Linked DNA regions of Drosophila melanogaster. The gene in region 2 interacts genetically with the main gene of each other region. Each region holds a gene or a part of one and is shown on either strand. Other genes may lie near its edges.

Region 1 (5,003 bases), 200 kb from region 2:
TAATAAATAGATATGATGATTTCATATTGCCACCTTTTTTTGTGCTATGTTAAAATCATTTGCTTGATAGATTTGCAGCTTTTCGGTTACATTGATAACAAAATGTTGCTAATCCATATTAGATATTTTACTTTACCCAGTAAACAAACAAATATTCAATGCTCACCCCATTTAAGCAACCATTAATGTAAAATTTTGCACACAAATGTAAATCAAAAGAGTCGAGGGGATAGAAAAAAAAAAGCAGAGAGAGGCCGATAAACGAGGAGATGGGCAAATAGAAAAGTCCAAATTGAGGGGGGGGGAGGGAGGCCAAAACACGGAGAGCCAGCCAGTCAGCCAGCCAGCGCGCTTAGGGTAAGAAATATATTATAGGAAAAATCCACCCTCGGGGGGCCGCAGCAACGTTGAAAACTGCACAAAGGCACAAAACCATGAAGGACAGCTAGCTGAGACCCGGGACTGAGGTTCTGAATCGAAATGAGTACGAGGATGTTGACGTTGCCCGCTGCACAAAACATCAACATCAACAGCAGCAACACAATCAAAAGGGTTACAGAATCAAAGGCCTAAGCAGAAGGTTGCTGAACCCACGGCGAGACCGTGACATAAAATCGCACAGCAAAGTAACGACGCTGCAGATACCCTTTCTTCGAATAGAACAAAGACTTTTTCAAGTCAAAGAACAACTGTTTAATCTTTAGATATTTGAATTATAAAAGTACATTGACAGGAGGGTATTAACATTTGGATTCGAAGTCGGTCTTACAACTTTTTAACCGAATGTGTTTATAATGAAATCATTTACAAATTATCATTACATGAATTCTTTAAGGGGCACAAGCATATAATAGGATATGACGTTAATACACCCTTTTCTGCATTCTATACCACCTATTGTCTTATAATTCTCAAATATAATTGCCCATTTCGGCGGGATGTCTTTGGACAACCAGCAAAACAACCCGAAAATAACCATGCTTGCTAAACCAAGAAAAAATTTGATTGTACCAATACTATGGCAACACCCTTCGCCCATAATCTGGATTATTGCACTGAGATATAGAATCATTATACTTACCAGACAACTCCGAATGCTCCATAGCCGATAGGACGATCCGGCTGAACATCCTGGGGAACAGCCGGCGGTTGATAGTAGGGAGCCGCTGCGGCCAAGATTGCGCTGGCGCCCTGTGGCGCACCACCGGCAGCACCACCCTGTACCAGTGACATCGAAACGCTCATTGATGGACTACGCGGCAAGTTTTCCAAATAATTCGAGCAGCTGCACCCGGTTCTGGTATTTGTTGGCGATGGAGCTCAGTGGTTGTGGTCCTGCTAGGCTGTGGCTTTTACTGGTGGTGGTGGTGGTTTCGACTGGGTCTTGGACTGTGGTTCTGATTCCCAAAGCTGTGACGGCGGTGGTGACTGAGGTGGTTGAGGTGATGGTGTTGCTGGAAGTGGTGCTTGATTTGATGTGGGAGAAATGGTGTTGATTGCTCAATGGATGCCGCTGGGGCCAACTGATGGCCGCCATTCAATTGTTGGCCATTTGTTGCTGTTTGCCTTGGCGTGCTCCTCTATTCAGCGCTATTTGTTTCGCTGCGTGTCGCTTGTTACACTTCTTACTTATTTAAATTAGATTTGAGGACATTGTGATGAAACTGCGGAGTGAAGTGGATAAATAATCATTTGTAGACAGTTGAATTGTGAATAATTTAAACGTTGCTAACAGAATTTACAATCTTGATTTATTTTCACAGTACGCAAGAAAACTATTGAGAATTGATTTCCTATTCGACCACTAGTTACTAGTTACCACTAGGCTCAATATTTTGTATATTCTGTAAAAGCTAGATTTAATTTAATCCGGTTTTGGTATTATTCACTGTACTTTAATTGTCGTTACTTTTGTTTGCTTTTCGAATTTTTGGTGGCAAATGATGCTGCACAGGAATCAAAAAGAAAGAAGAGAGGAGAACAGTGAGAGAGAGCGCGCGAGAGGACATGAAAAGTGCCGTTAGCTGTCGCGACCGGGGCGCGTCCGTGTATTACAATTGTAAGTGTGTGCGCATGTGAGTGCGATTCTGAGTGATTTTCGGACTGCGCTGCCTGCGCAAAAAGCCGCTCAAAAGACACAAAAATCACTTAAAATCCGACTTTTCATGCAAATTTACAAATGTTGAAAACCAAACAATGGCGAGCACCCCCAAGTCGCCAGAAAATGAACGCAATCAAAAAACGCTCGCATGAAAATCGAAAAGTAACGGGACAAAAGAAATTCGCCCGGGGATATGTAATATTTCCCAGGGTTTCGCTTAGCTTTCCGGACTAATTAAACCTAACCTATGCAAACAAGACATTCCATTTCACTTTAAATTACCTTAAAAAATGCACAAATTATTGAGCAGCGGCGGTGGCAGTTTTTCGTTTATAATTTCTTTTCTATTTTTCTTTTTTTTTTGTGTTTAACTCTTCCGCCTTTGTGGGAGCGAGATGGAAGTAAAACGCGCCGGGGGTAATATTCGTGCGTGTGTGTGTGAGAGAGAGTGAACTAGCGGGCGAGACGGAAACAATTTTGTAATTTTGTTTAATTATTATTGTAAATAACGCGAGATGAATTTTTTGTTGTTTGGCGTGTTACTACTACTAACGCGACGGCTGCTCACACACACGCGCATACACAATCGCACGCACGTTTAAACTATGTACATGTATATGCAGAGCCAGACAAACAAACAAAATTTTGCCTGGGTCACGTTTCTTGGCTCTCTCACAGCTTTTTTTCTACGGTTGCCCTTTATTGCATTATCTTTGTTATCACACGGGCCGCGGGGCGTGGCTAAAAGGGGGGCGGGCGGATGTTGGTCGTCGGTTGGCGTTTGATTACCTCGCAGCTTCCCAACGAATGAGCCTAACTTGGATTTTCGATCACACGCGGCGACGTTTGTTTCAACGATAATTCCGAATTCGTGCGCTCGACGTTCCGCTCCGTTCGAAAGTTGAGAGAGACTTGAAACATATGTTCGGCGTTGCTAGAGGTGGTCGGCCACCGATAGAAACATCGATAGGTCCGATGTTTTCCACTCGTATATTAATTCAAGGTTTGGCTATCGATGTTTTTAGAGTGCCCGCACTATATCTATTTCCATCTCTATTTCGTTGGTATTTTTTGTATTTTATGACATTTCAAATGCAAAAGCAGGATGGCAACGCCAGATTGCCCCGAATGTACGTTATTTTTAAATTGCAGCGTTGAATATGAAAAATTGCAGGTACATACAGTTTCTAATAATTAATAGCAATAATTATTATTTAGCTTGTATTATACGAAGTGCACATGCAGCTATGCATCTGAAAAAATAATATTAATATATCGCCTTTTCTTCCATCGATAGAGTTCCGCGCCTATCGATATATTGTTGATCACCAAATAAATAAAACTAAATAACAACGCAATGGAACACGCGACAAGTGAATTGAGGGAATTTATCTCAGATCTGGTGATTCCGCACCAGCGTTGCAATGTTAACATCAATCCGGATCACATCACAATGCTGGAGGGCACCAAGATCAAGAAGCAGCACTCCCGAAAACGTCGCGCCCACAAATCCAGTACGCTGAGTCGCCGGGAATATGCGGCACTTGGTTTGAACACTCTTCCCACCAAGCAGATGAAGTACGAGGAGGCACTGCCACTGCACCACCTGTGGAAGGGCTATGTACGCGAGCATCTGGAGCTGAGGGAAGGTGACGAGGTGCCCCAGGTGCACGATGCTCGCTACGACGAGTTCAGCCGCAAGTTGGTGAAACTGGACTTGCACGGTGCCAAGATGAAGGTGCTGCAGTCCAAGTGCTCCACCCTGGAAAATTTGGCTGGCATCTGCGTCATGGACACCAAGAACGTGCTGAAACTGCTCGGCAAGGACCATCGGCTGCGCACAATACCCAAGAGCGAGTGCGTCTTTGGTATGAAAGTGGGCAACATGGAGTTCACCATATTCGGGCAGCACCTCAACATTCGACCCGCCGAGCGAAGCGTTAAGAAGATCAAGAACTTTGTGAAGCCCTTCATGTAGGAACTACAGGACCAATCATTAGCCATAGAAATTGAATCCTATTGTAATTTAAGGAAAAAAGTTTATTGGAAAGTTAGCATCGCTTTTCAATAGAAATTTAATAATTGCCCTCAAAGATCCTCTAAAACTTTACTTGTATTTGAGATTGTTGTGTTTAATATATATATAAAACCGTACATTAATTGTTTTTCTTGTTTTTTTTTTTTTTTTTTGGGGGGGGGGGGGTATATTTCGCGCCGCGTTTTTTTCGTATTTAGGTTCTAGTTTATGGGAGAGATTACCCGGATTCAAATATATCCAGTTTGTAGGAAAGATTTATGCGGGCGTCTTGGTCATGGTGATGACAGCGGATGGAACCAAGCCGAGCACTTCCAGCGGCTTCTCGTAGTCGTCCTCGGCGAACAGCTTGCGCGGAAAGGTGGTCATCAGAGAGAAGGGCGACTCGATGCCGGTCTTCATCTGGATGAACACACGTACGGCGGACAGCTGCTCCTTGACGTTGAAGGTTTCCTGTAGTGTTGAGCCATCCTGCAGGCGCACCTGGATGCGGGTTTCGGTGTAGTCTCGCGGCGGAGATTTCACACCGGCCGGTGGTGACGAAACTGTGGTGGAGCTCACGGATGGAGCTGGCTCTGCGTTGCCCAATTCCTTTTGTTCTCTGCATACCATGAATTATAATGAATTATGAAGTGGAAGGATAGGGCTAATCCTTACCTAGCCTTGCGTGCTGCCTTGTCCGCCTCAATTTGAGCCTTTACCCGATCGCGGGCCGCCTTCTCCTCGTCCTTTTCGCGCTTGCGCTGCTCAACGATCTTCTTCATCTCCAACTCCTCCATGCGCCGCTTGGCCTCGGTCATGTCCTTGCCGGACTTGATGCGATTCTTTTCCCGCTGCAGGGCTTCGATTTTCTCGCGCTCCTCGCGT
Region 2 (4,855 bases):
TACCCAATACTCATACGACCCGTTGTACAACTTTGCTTCCTCGCCTTCTATTTCTCTTTCCGCAAAACTTGTAATACTTTTCGTCGCGCTCTAGCGTTTGTTGTCTTAAACTTGACTTAATTAAATTGTTCACTATTATTTTATTTTTACCTCTAGTCATTCATTGATTTATTTCGTCGGCGTTCGTTCCCCCTTATTTTACCGAGACGGGATTTAATTACAATCTACCAATTCCGAGTTCATCGTTAATAGTGTTCAAGGGGTATACTTCTATGTGGTTTTCCAGCATGGAGTTGTTGTTCTATAAACAGAACCCTAAACGGATCTTGGATTTTCCTTTCCCTAAACGTTTAACAATCTAATAATAAATTGACGTATCTGAATCATTAGCAGTCTGCTTAAAATCATCAGTTCATCACATAAATCGATCTTTATAATGATTTAATATGTTTAGATTGAAATTGAATAATATTTTCGTTAAGGGGGAAATTTTAAATGAATTCTATTTAGTATCGATTAAATTCCGACTAATTAAAAACTAACTTGATTTCATTTAAGTGGACAAAAACTCACTATACCATTACAAAATTCATTAGGTTAAACTTATTCAGTCCAAAGTTTTGCTCTCTTTAGGTTATTCCTTTTGATATAAATGAAGGGTGTCTAACTTTTAGTCATTAGAAATTTAAGTGCATTTTTCTATAAGTTCTTTTAATTAAAAAACGACCCAGAGGCTTTCCTTAAGTTTTCGTTCTTTGTTTCCAACTACCTCAATATTGTTAAAAAAAAAAAAAAATAGATCTGGAGTAGTTGTCAATCAGTTGCTTATCTCACCGTATCAACAACTAGCCATATTTGCTCTAAGTGAAAATGAAGTATACGCTCTGCAAGCCAGAGCGAAAATGGCCAGAAAGTGCAGCTGACTGCAGATTAAATTAAGTAGCGTTTCGTAATTGTGCCCCATTTATTCGACTAAATGCAAAAACAAGAATCGAAGTTGTATCACTTGTAATGTTTAAAACCTTTTTGCATGTGCCTATAGTTTTTTTAGTTGTCAATTGAAATAAGTTTTACTGAGAGCGTGTGCGACTACCGCATGATCGCACACCACTGCACAAATGCACACGCGTACTCACACCATTGCAGCAGAACACACGCACACAGATAGACTGGCGCACACAGATACTCGGGGCAGTCAAACGCTGACGATGACGTTTCAAAAACTCAAAAAGACGCCACATCCGAGACCTGAGACTTGTCAGCCAACAATAAAAAAAACAAAAAAAAAAAAATTTAAATAAAACAAATGGAAATAGTTGGATTGCAAAGCGACTAGCAAATTACCTAGCTAGTTTCAGCCACTGGAAATTCTTGTAATTAAGCAAAACTTACAAACAATATTATTTATCTTGAATTCACCGGAATGAAAATAGTGTACTGCGTAAAATATCCAATCAATCTTGCTGAATGAAACTAAAACCAATATCTAAAAATATTTTTTAATTTTTATATTTATTTTAATATTGGGTACGAAATCCAACTTTTAGAGTAAACAAACGACACAACTCCATTCAAAATTCGAATAAAGAGTACATTATTAAAATACCTTTCCAAATCTAAAGACATTTTAAAAAAATTATAGTTTTTATTATATGTATGTGGAAAAATCGCTCTCACAGGTAGTTTGTTTTCAATTTTTTTTTGGTTGAATGCACTTTTGTTTTAAGCGAGAAGTATCTTCACTCGTATTCGCTCGTATCTCATCCTTGGGTTTGCCTTATCTTTTTTGGCGCGGCATTTTTCTTCTGTTATTTTTGTCACTGCGGATGTTCTACCTAATGCACTTTTGCTTTTATTATTTTTATTTTTTTCCTCCACTTTTGCTTTGCACACTTCACAATTTTGCCGCAGCTGATTTGTAATTTAATCTTTTGAATCTGGCGCAAAACTTTGGTAATTAGCAGGTAAAGTAGTTAATTTACTTCGAAATTGAATCTTAGCTACATTAGTTTGGATGCACTTGTTCAATTAAATAAAACTTTACTACTTTAGTATTTAACTAAGATCAATTTTTAACTTGTGAAAACTTGTATTTGTGTTTTATTGCAACATCACTGACATATAACTACACTTTTTTATTTGGCTTTTTAAAAACGCCCATTATTATTTAAACTATTTATTTTTATCCATATATTGCCTTTGGCGGCTTATCCACTTTTGTTTTTTCCTCTGCCTTTCACTTTGTTTCTTCAAGAATTATTCCACATTTGTTCCTGTTTTTATGGCACGAGTGTTTTAAAAGTTACATAATAACTTTTCCCGTTCTGCTTTGCGCGTTTTTTTTTTTATACTTCTGCACTTGGTGACATATATACGCCAATATATAGAAAACGATATCCAATAACAAAAACACTTTAATTTCTTTTATGGTAAAAGGTAAAACAAAAAACTTTTTTGGCAATATCAGCAGAAACAAGGAAGAAAGCTGCAATTTAATTAAGCGCAAAGACGGAGACAAACAAAAATATTATTCCCCTTCAAATCCGAAACAGAACCGAAAAGGCGAAAAGTGTGTAATATGCGATCGAGTTACAGGCAGAGACAATATCAACGGCAGACGGCTTGACTTTGCTTCAGATCGGCCAAGTACTTGCGATATAAAACAATAACTGCGCGCTCAAAAAAAAAACCCGGAGAAAATGCGAATAAATCGAAAACCCGAATCGGAAAATTAAAGAGAGAGATCCGCTCGTTGACGCTGCGCTTGCTGGACTCAAACTGAATAAATGCACGAGAATTGCAAGTTCTAAGCTGGCGAAAATAAAAACTACAAACGCAAAAAGCCCGTGGATAAACGAAAAACCGCGAAATGCATCGAAATGTGAGCAGCGAGTCCCCAGAAGCGTTCTCACCGATACAAAGATACGAAACCGAATCGGTCGGGAGAGTCAGTCGGTCTACAAGTCTGTTGTAATGCCTTTTGCCGGCCGGGGCGTATACGCGATATGTGCAAGCATTCCCAGCTCTACCTGACTGACTGACTGATTGAGCACCGCCACTCGGCTATTATTTAATATGCTCTCCACACTCAGAATCCGCCATATCACTCAATTGCACCGATCGTGAACCTGAGTTGAGTCTTTATCTATCGCTCTATCAAACTATCAGCACGCTCAGAGCCACTCTGCTCAGAGGGTCTCTCTCGGATCGGATAGTATAGCTTTTCTATATAGTTTTCTTTCAACCTTTCTGTTTGTTGTCCAATATTCCGCGTGTTTCTGGCATTCCGTCTGGAGATTACAGATATAAGGGTCTCTCGGGGGTCTCGCAGGGGTGATTCAACGGGTTTTGTTTGTCCGCGACTTAAGTTCAAGGTCTGTGGCAGGGGTGAGTTTTTGACTATAGGTCGGCATAGACTGAAACTAGGTAGGTGGTGCAACATACCCTAACTATCTTTTGATCTATCTATACTGCTTCATGTCTATAAACTTACATTAACAGATCATATGTGCATTTCATGCAACGTGAGGCGAACTGAAATATAATTTGAAATAATAAGAGAAGTTAAACATAATTTAAAGTTAAAACTAAACAAACTGTTTTAATATTTAATCATTTAATTTAATGTAAACTTTTACTAATTAAATTGTCTTATAGTATGGAAAGTGATAAAAGAACTTCCAAACTGTCATTTCAGCTTTTGTTAATCCACACAAATAATTTCCAAAGCACTACGGCATTAGCTTTTTAATGCAAACTCATATTTCAATAAATATTTCATATATAAAGTAGTTTTAGTATGAATTCAATAGTGAACCACGACCCTTACCTTTGATTCCTTTGTCGTATTTTATCTTCAAAATCAATTCAATTGGAATTCAGCTCCGAATCTAGCACTACGACCTCACTTTCTGCAAAGGTAGCACAGAAAACTAATAATTCTGATTCTTATTCCATGATTGCCTAATCGCGAACCGCTTGCACCAGAAATTCGATATTTATTAGATGCTTACGTAACATTTCAGCACTCGATTTGCAATTTACAAGATTTTCTCGATTTGATTTGAAAGTTTTATAGGTTTATGCAACGCACAGGATGTATATATGTAGCTATTCAGCAATGCAGAGGTGTAGTCAGAACTACTTTGTTGTCAAACTGAAACTCAATAGTTTTTTTTATCAACCACTTTTATAAGTTAAAAGAAAAACCATAGTTATGTTCCACATTTATTTTATATTTTAATTGTTTTCCTCTTTATTTTACATCATTATTAAATTAAGAAGTACCAGTAAAAAAAATTTAGCACAAAAAACACAGAGAAAATATGTTGTTGATTTGATCTTAAGAATTTTAGAAATATTATAAATTTTTTTTTGTTTCATATAGAATTATGTAATAATTTCTTCATATAAAGTAGACACAAAAATAATGTCAAATTTTGGGATTGTATTGTATTTAGTGTCTAAACGTAAATACACGATGATTTAATTTAGACGTTCGTGTATATTTTGTATAAAATTACATAAATATTTTGTTGACAAAAAATGTTGATTTATTTATTTATTTTGTGTTGAGCTGAAAATTAAATTCGTGTTCTATAACTAGCGTAGAAAATGTACATATAATTTATGGATTATCCGTAAAAAGATATTTACAAAGACAAAGATGTGCCGACTGATAAAGCAAATTTTTGTTTTTAAAATTGATTTGCTTTATAGGGAGAGTTTGAACGATTAAAAAGAATAAACAAAATGAGTATGCGGCTTAGAAGTAGAAGAAATCAAAGACAAAGATGTTTTAGCTAATGTTACAAAGATATATCAAAGCTATCTCTTCAATAGGAATGCGGGCTGA
Region 3 (4,907 bases), on a different chromosome or scaffold from region 2:
AAAGATCAAACTCAAACTCAAAACCCAAACCCATACCCATTCCTATTCCCATTCCCCCAACCATACTCAAACCCATACCCAAAGTCGTCTGCATACCAAAACCAAAACCCATCGGCAGCTGGAAGTCAAGTTGGAGCCAAACTCTTTGAGCATGTTGCGCCTGCTACAGTGGGTACTCCATGGAAGGACGACTTTCATGTTAAAGGTTTGATGATTTTGAAATATATTTAAGAAGTATTTCAAATAATCTCTCTCCAAGTTGCCAAGTATTTTCAATTGGTCATGGTTTACAAAACAAAATGGTTGAGTTAAAGTCTCAACAACATTGTTTAAAAAGTTAAGTTGTTATTATTGTTATTAAAACAATAATATTTCGAATATAAATATTTATAACATTTCAGCATAATTGGTTTAAAATGCTATAAAATAGTTTTAATATATTTATTTAAGAATGTTATATTTAATTACTGGTTTATTGTTTCAAAAGGCGAAATAAAACGCTCACGTTGTGACATATTAATTAAATCAAGTTCAATAAAAAAAAAGTGATTGATCGGATTGAATATATTCAATTACTGGTTGCCTAGTCGGTTTGGTTTTGAAATGAAAAGTAAATTCATTTAAAGCATTTAGCTGCAGCTGATGGAATGCGCACTGTATCCGCCCAGCGAGCAGTACTTGGCATATATCAAAAGCCAGGCAGCACACTTGTATCTCATTTGGCAAAAGTATCTGCGGATGTCGCGGGTTGGGGCGGGCACAAGAAAGTATCTGGCTTTTTAATAGGTTCAAATTGTGGCATGAGTAACGCAGCGCACAGAGCAACTTGACTAACAGGCGGCGTGACGTGACGCAAAGTATCTCGGCTATAGCGATTGTGGATGTGCAAGTCGAGTATCTGTGACTGTGCGCCTTTTGTATCTGTATCTTTGTATCTGCGTATCTGTGAGCTAGGCTGCCTGTTGAGCGGGTGAGCTGCGCCAAAAGTTCATGACGCTGGCTGAGCTTGATTTTCAGACCATTTTACATGGGGCAATTCCGATTGCGACTGGCTGGCAAACAAGCTGCCTTGTTTGCGTCTGTTTTTACGTTTTTTTTTTCTTCTGTTTTTCAGCTTCTCTGCTTTTCACCCGCTTTCTGTTTTCCTTTATTTCAGCTCTCTGTTTTTCCCCCTTTCTTTTGCCCATTTCGTTTGTGTTTTTGTTTTGTTTGCCGCTGCCCTGTGAGTGTGCGTTTGTTTGTGTGCCTGTTTGTTTGTTTGCCTTTTGTGTGCGCTGGGGGATTACGTAAGGGAATCCCCAACATTTTGCAGCGCGCGCGCCAACGCAACTGAATTAAAATGATAAGGGGACTGTGGGTGGTTGGGCGTGGGCGCAATGCAATGAAAAGTGACTACTGACGCTGTTGTTTCATGTTTTATGCATGCCCTCCCTCTCTTTGCTCTCGCCCCGTCCCTCTCTCTCTCTCTCTCTCTTGCGAGTGGAGCACTCATGGCACACAAATAATAATGCAAAAAAATATATATCTTATAGATACAGCCAGAGGTTTCGAGTGGGGGCGTGGCTGAATACTACATACATTCTTAATTACATATTTTTCCCTTTGAGCCGCCAAGAAAAAATCACTGCACTTGACGAGATTCTTTGAAGCTCTGAAGCAAGGACTTACTGTCTTGCCATATGGCAGCTGTGAAACTCGTCGTCCTTGAGCTGAAGCCCAATTTTTTTAAGACCGCTGGAGTTCTTTTAATAATCAACAAACTACTTGGAGTGAATTTGTTATCAAGAACAAAGCAGTCAAAGTTCGATCTTATAATAGAACCACTAAATATAAAGATTCCAAAGAAAAGTCAGCATAGAAATTGTGGATATTGGGTCCCTTTTCCTTGTAAACACTTTATGGAAACGTTTGCAAAATAGCTTAAAATCCTTGAGAAGAGGCAATTTCCCGGAATTTCGCTGGCATATTTTCGAACTCACGCTTGATTTGAATAATTAACAGGAAAATGTACTTACTGCCTCGACCGCTGCCCTTGCGTCGCGCCATTTTCCCTGCTTCAAAGTTGGTGTCCCGTTTTGGCGCTGTCCGCTGTCCGCTGTCCCGTTGTCCTTTTGCACAGAACAATACTGCTGGAAATTAGGATCCTTGCGCTTGACTGATGTATATTTAATCAGAGGCCGCCTACCCGCTGGCACGCCCACTTGCGACACTGGTTCTGGTCTGTTTGTATGGCACAACAGCAACAAAGCTTGTACGTGTGTCGACGTCCTTGACGCACACAATGACAAGCGTCCTTGTTTGTCTGAGCGTATGAGCGCGCGCGTGTGTGTGTGTTTGTGTGTGTAAGCGAGTGTATGGGTGTGTGTGTGTGTGGCCTGGTTCCCGGTTCGCTGGTATTTGCCAACTAGACAAATAGAGGAGCCATGATGTCCAAGTCCCTGGTATTATCCTGATATGCCGCTTGCCTGTCGACCTGGTGGAGATTGCAACCCGCTGGCTGGCATCGCTGCTATCCTGCCCAAGTCTCAGTATCCTTGGTTGCTGTAATTGTGCTATATAAATCCATGTAGGCGTATCCTCTGCTCGCTGTGTAAAAAAAACCTCAATTCGGAAATGTTCGGTTTGATATGCCGTTCCTTATTTTTGTTGTGGTAGGTTTTGTTTGATTTGTATTACTTTTGACAGACCCTGCGTATACGCAATATTCGCAACTAAATCGCGCGCGCCGCGAATTCTTTCAGTTTTATGTGCTGCGTGTGTGTATGTATGTACACTCCTTATCAACACTGTTTCATCCGAGGGCCTCACTTTATTTCATATATATTATATATCTCTTTCGAAATATGCGCTATATGGCTGTTGCGGAATCTATTAATAAAACGGACATGTTATTCACCATGCGTTGCGATTTGACTTGATTTGATTTCGTTGCTGGCTTTTTTGCGCATTTACCGAGAAGTGCGAGAAGCGCGCGAAAACGAGAGGCGTGCGTCGACGTCGGCGTTCACGGACAAACAGAGCCAGCGAGAATCCGTTAGGCCCCCAAAAGCCAAAGCCAAAGCCAAAAGCCCGAACGCCAAGAGCACACCCAAAGTGAGCTCTCTTTTGGCGCACAAATGAGAGAGCCAAAGAGCGACGTAAGTGGCTTTCAATTCGACCAGCCGTTTCGTTTCAATCGAAAATCGCCTTTCAACTTGTCTGTTTACCTTTTTTCTTTTCCCACTCACAGAGCAGCGAAGAGAGTTCGCTAAGAGAGTCGCCTTATCAGTATTGTGTGTGTGTGTGTGTGTCCAAAGCTTAAATGCCAATAGCAGGAGCTCCAGATGATAAGCGTTATTTACTTGGCTTACCTGCGCTGTGATAATACCTGGGTTGTCTGTTTTATCAGTTTGCTAATTTACATTTTTAAGATTATCCACACAATTGATAAAAAGGTAATACTTTTCTAAGCCTAAATGTATGCAATATCAAAAAACAACATGGTGCTTCAGTGGAAAAGCATTGATTTAGGCGATTTGATAAATTAATTATAAGGAGTTGCTAAAAATATAAACATGTCATTATAATATATTTTAATAATCATAAACTTGGTGGGACGAACACACAAACCTTATAAACTAGCTGCTGCAACTCGCAGCGAAAATAACGAAGATAAACATTTAATTCATGGTTTAAAAATTATTCTAAATTATAGATGAAGTTTGATTCTAAGATATGTACTCTGTTGAAACACATTTTAATTACTGCACATAGAATCGTATCCATTCCAATGATAGTAATGTTTCGACTTAATTTAATATTCATATGCATAAAAATAGCAAATTCGATGAATTAAATGAAGACGTTTAAATGAAGGCGTCCTATTCTTTGATACAGCCATTAATGTTTCCGATTCATTTAAGGCAGACACTTTGGGCCCAGTCGAAAGCTGTTCGAGCCGCAACGCCTCGTAACGCCTGGTGTCGAAAGGCTGAAATAATGCGGCTTCAAAGGAAATTAAGTGCTGGCGAAAATATGTACATATGTGAAGAAAAGAAGAACATATCGCAGAACATTGGCGATGGCGATGTCAAGTGGATGGGATTTTGGCTGACAGCTGTGAGAATTCCCAGCCAAAGTGACAAGTAAAAGGCGTGGCCTTGAGCCTCATTTGCCAGCCCCAAAACGCCAACGGCCGCCCTTCAATTTAAATTCATATGGGAAGATATACGATGTTTGGCCTAAACGACTTTCAATAAATGTGGTTTGTTTCTTTTAAGAATTTTCACAAATCATTGATATTTATTAGAGCCGCACGCGTGACCACCCTAATCACATCACTCATCCTTATGTTCAGAGTTAACCCCCCTGCACCCCCCCCCCCCTGTGTTATACTATGCTCCATCGTCAATGAAAACGAATATATGTACTATGTTCGAACAGCTGTTCTTTGTTTACAATTGGCGCAGGCGCCCAATTGGAAATTGTTCGTGTGCGTGTGTATGTTCGCCCGGCTAGAAGGCCTTCCAGTTCCAGTGCGAAAGCAGTTCGAAACTGGAAGCTGGAAGGAGGGGAAATTCGTGGTGCCGAACACTTTGGCGCCAAATGAAAAACGTCCGTCGGAATTTCACTTGCAGTCGGAAAATAACAGAGCGCGTGAAAGGATCACAGTGCGGATCAAACAGACCGGTCTGTTGAAAAGTCAGGGAAATCCAGTTGAAAAACGAAAGTAACAAAATTGAAGAAAAAAAAAAAATTATTTACAAGCTGCCTCATAAAAATTCCACACATCGTTTCAAAAAAGTGTGTTTGCTACATACTTCTATTCTTCTATCTAAACAGAACCATTCCAACCAAATAAGCCAGCAAAAGAAATAAAACGCAAATGTGAGTGCCATAAAAATAATGTTCAATTATCACCAAATTTA

What was found. Genes that interact genetically often act in the same process or in processes that back each other up.
Region 1: of Clk (region 2) and nmo, changing one enhances a phenotype caused by changing the other (phenotypic enhancement), as found in Drosophila melanogaster (one study listed by BioGRID).
Region 3: of Clk (region 2) and shn, changing one suppresses a phenotype caused by changing the other (phenotypic suppression), as found in Drosophila melanogaster (one study listed by BioGRID).

Annotation. Positions count from the first base shown.
Region 1 is NT_037436.4:7,977,061-7,982,063, reverse strand, and holds the start of nmo (nemo), read right to left. Parts: upstream 3,019-5,003; 5' UTR 2,891-3,018; exon of another isoform or gene 2,555-2,890; 5' UTR 2,384-2,554; intron 1,665-2,383; 5' UTR 1,246-1,664; coding exon 1,082-1,245; intron 1-1,081. Other genes in the region: POP4 ribonuclease P/MRP subunit, read left to right, coding at 3,459-4,079; CG8209 (uncharacterized protein), read right to left, coding at 4,395-4,737, 4,794-5,003.
Region 2 is NT_037436.4:7,772,584-7,777,438, forward strand, and holds the start of Clk (clock), read right to left. Parts: upstream 3,021-4,855; 5' UTR 2,913-3,020; intron 1-2,912. UniProt on the Drosophila melanogaster protein: Circadian regulator that acts as a transcription factor and generates a rhythmic output with a period of about 24 hours. Oscillates in antiphase to the cycling observed for period (PER) and timeless (TIM).
Region 3 is NT_033778.4:11,171,914-11,176,820, reverse strand, and holds the start of shn (schnurri), read right to left. Parts: upstream 3,019-4,907; 5' UTR 2,047-3,018; coding exon 2,016-2,046; intron 1-2,015.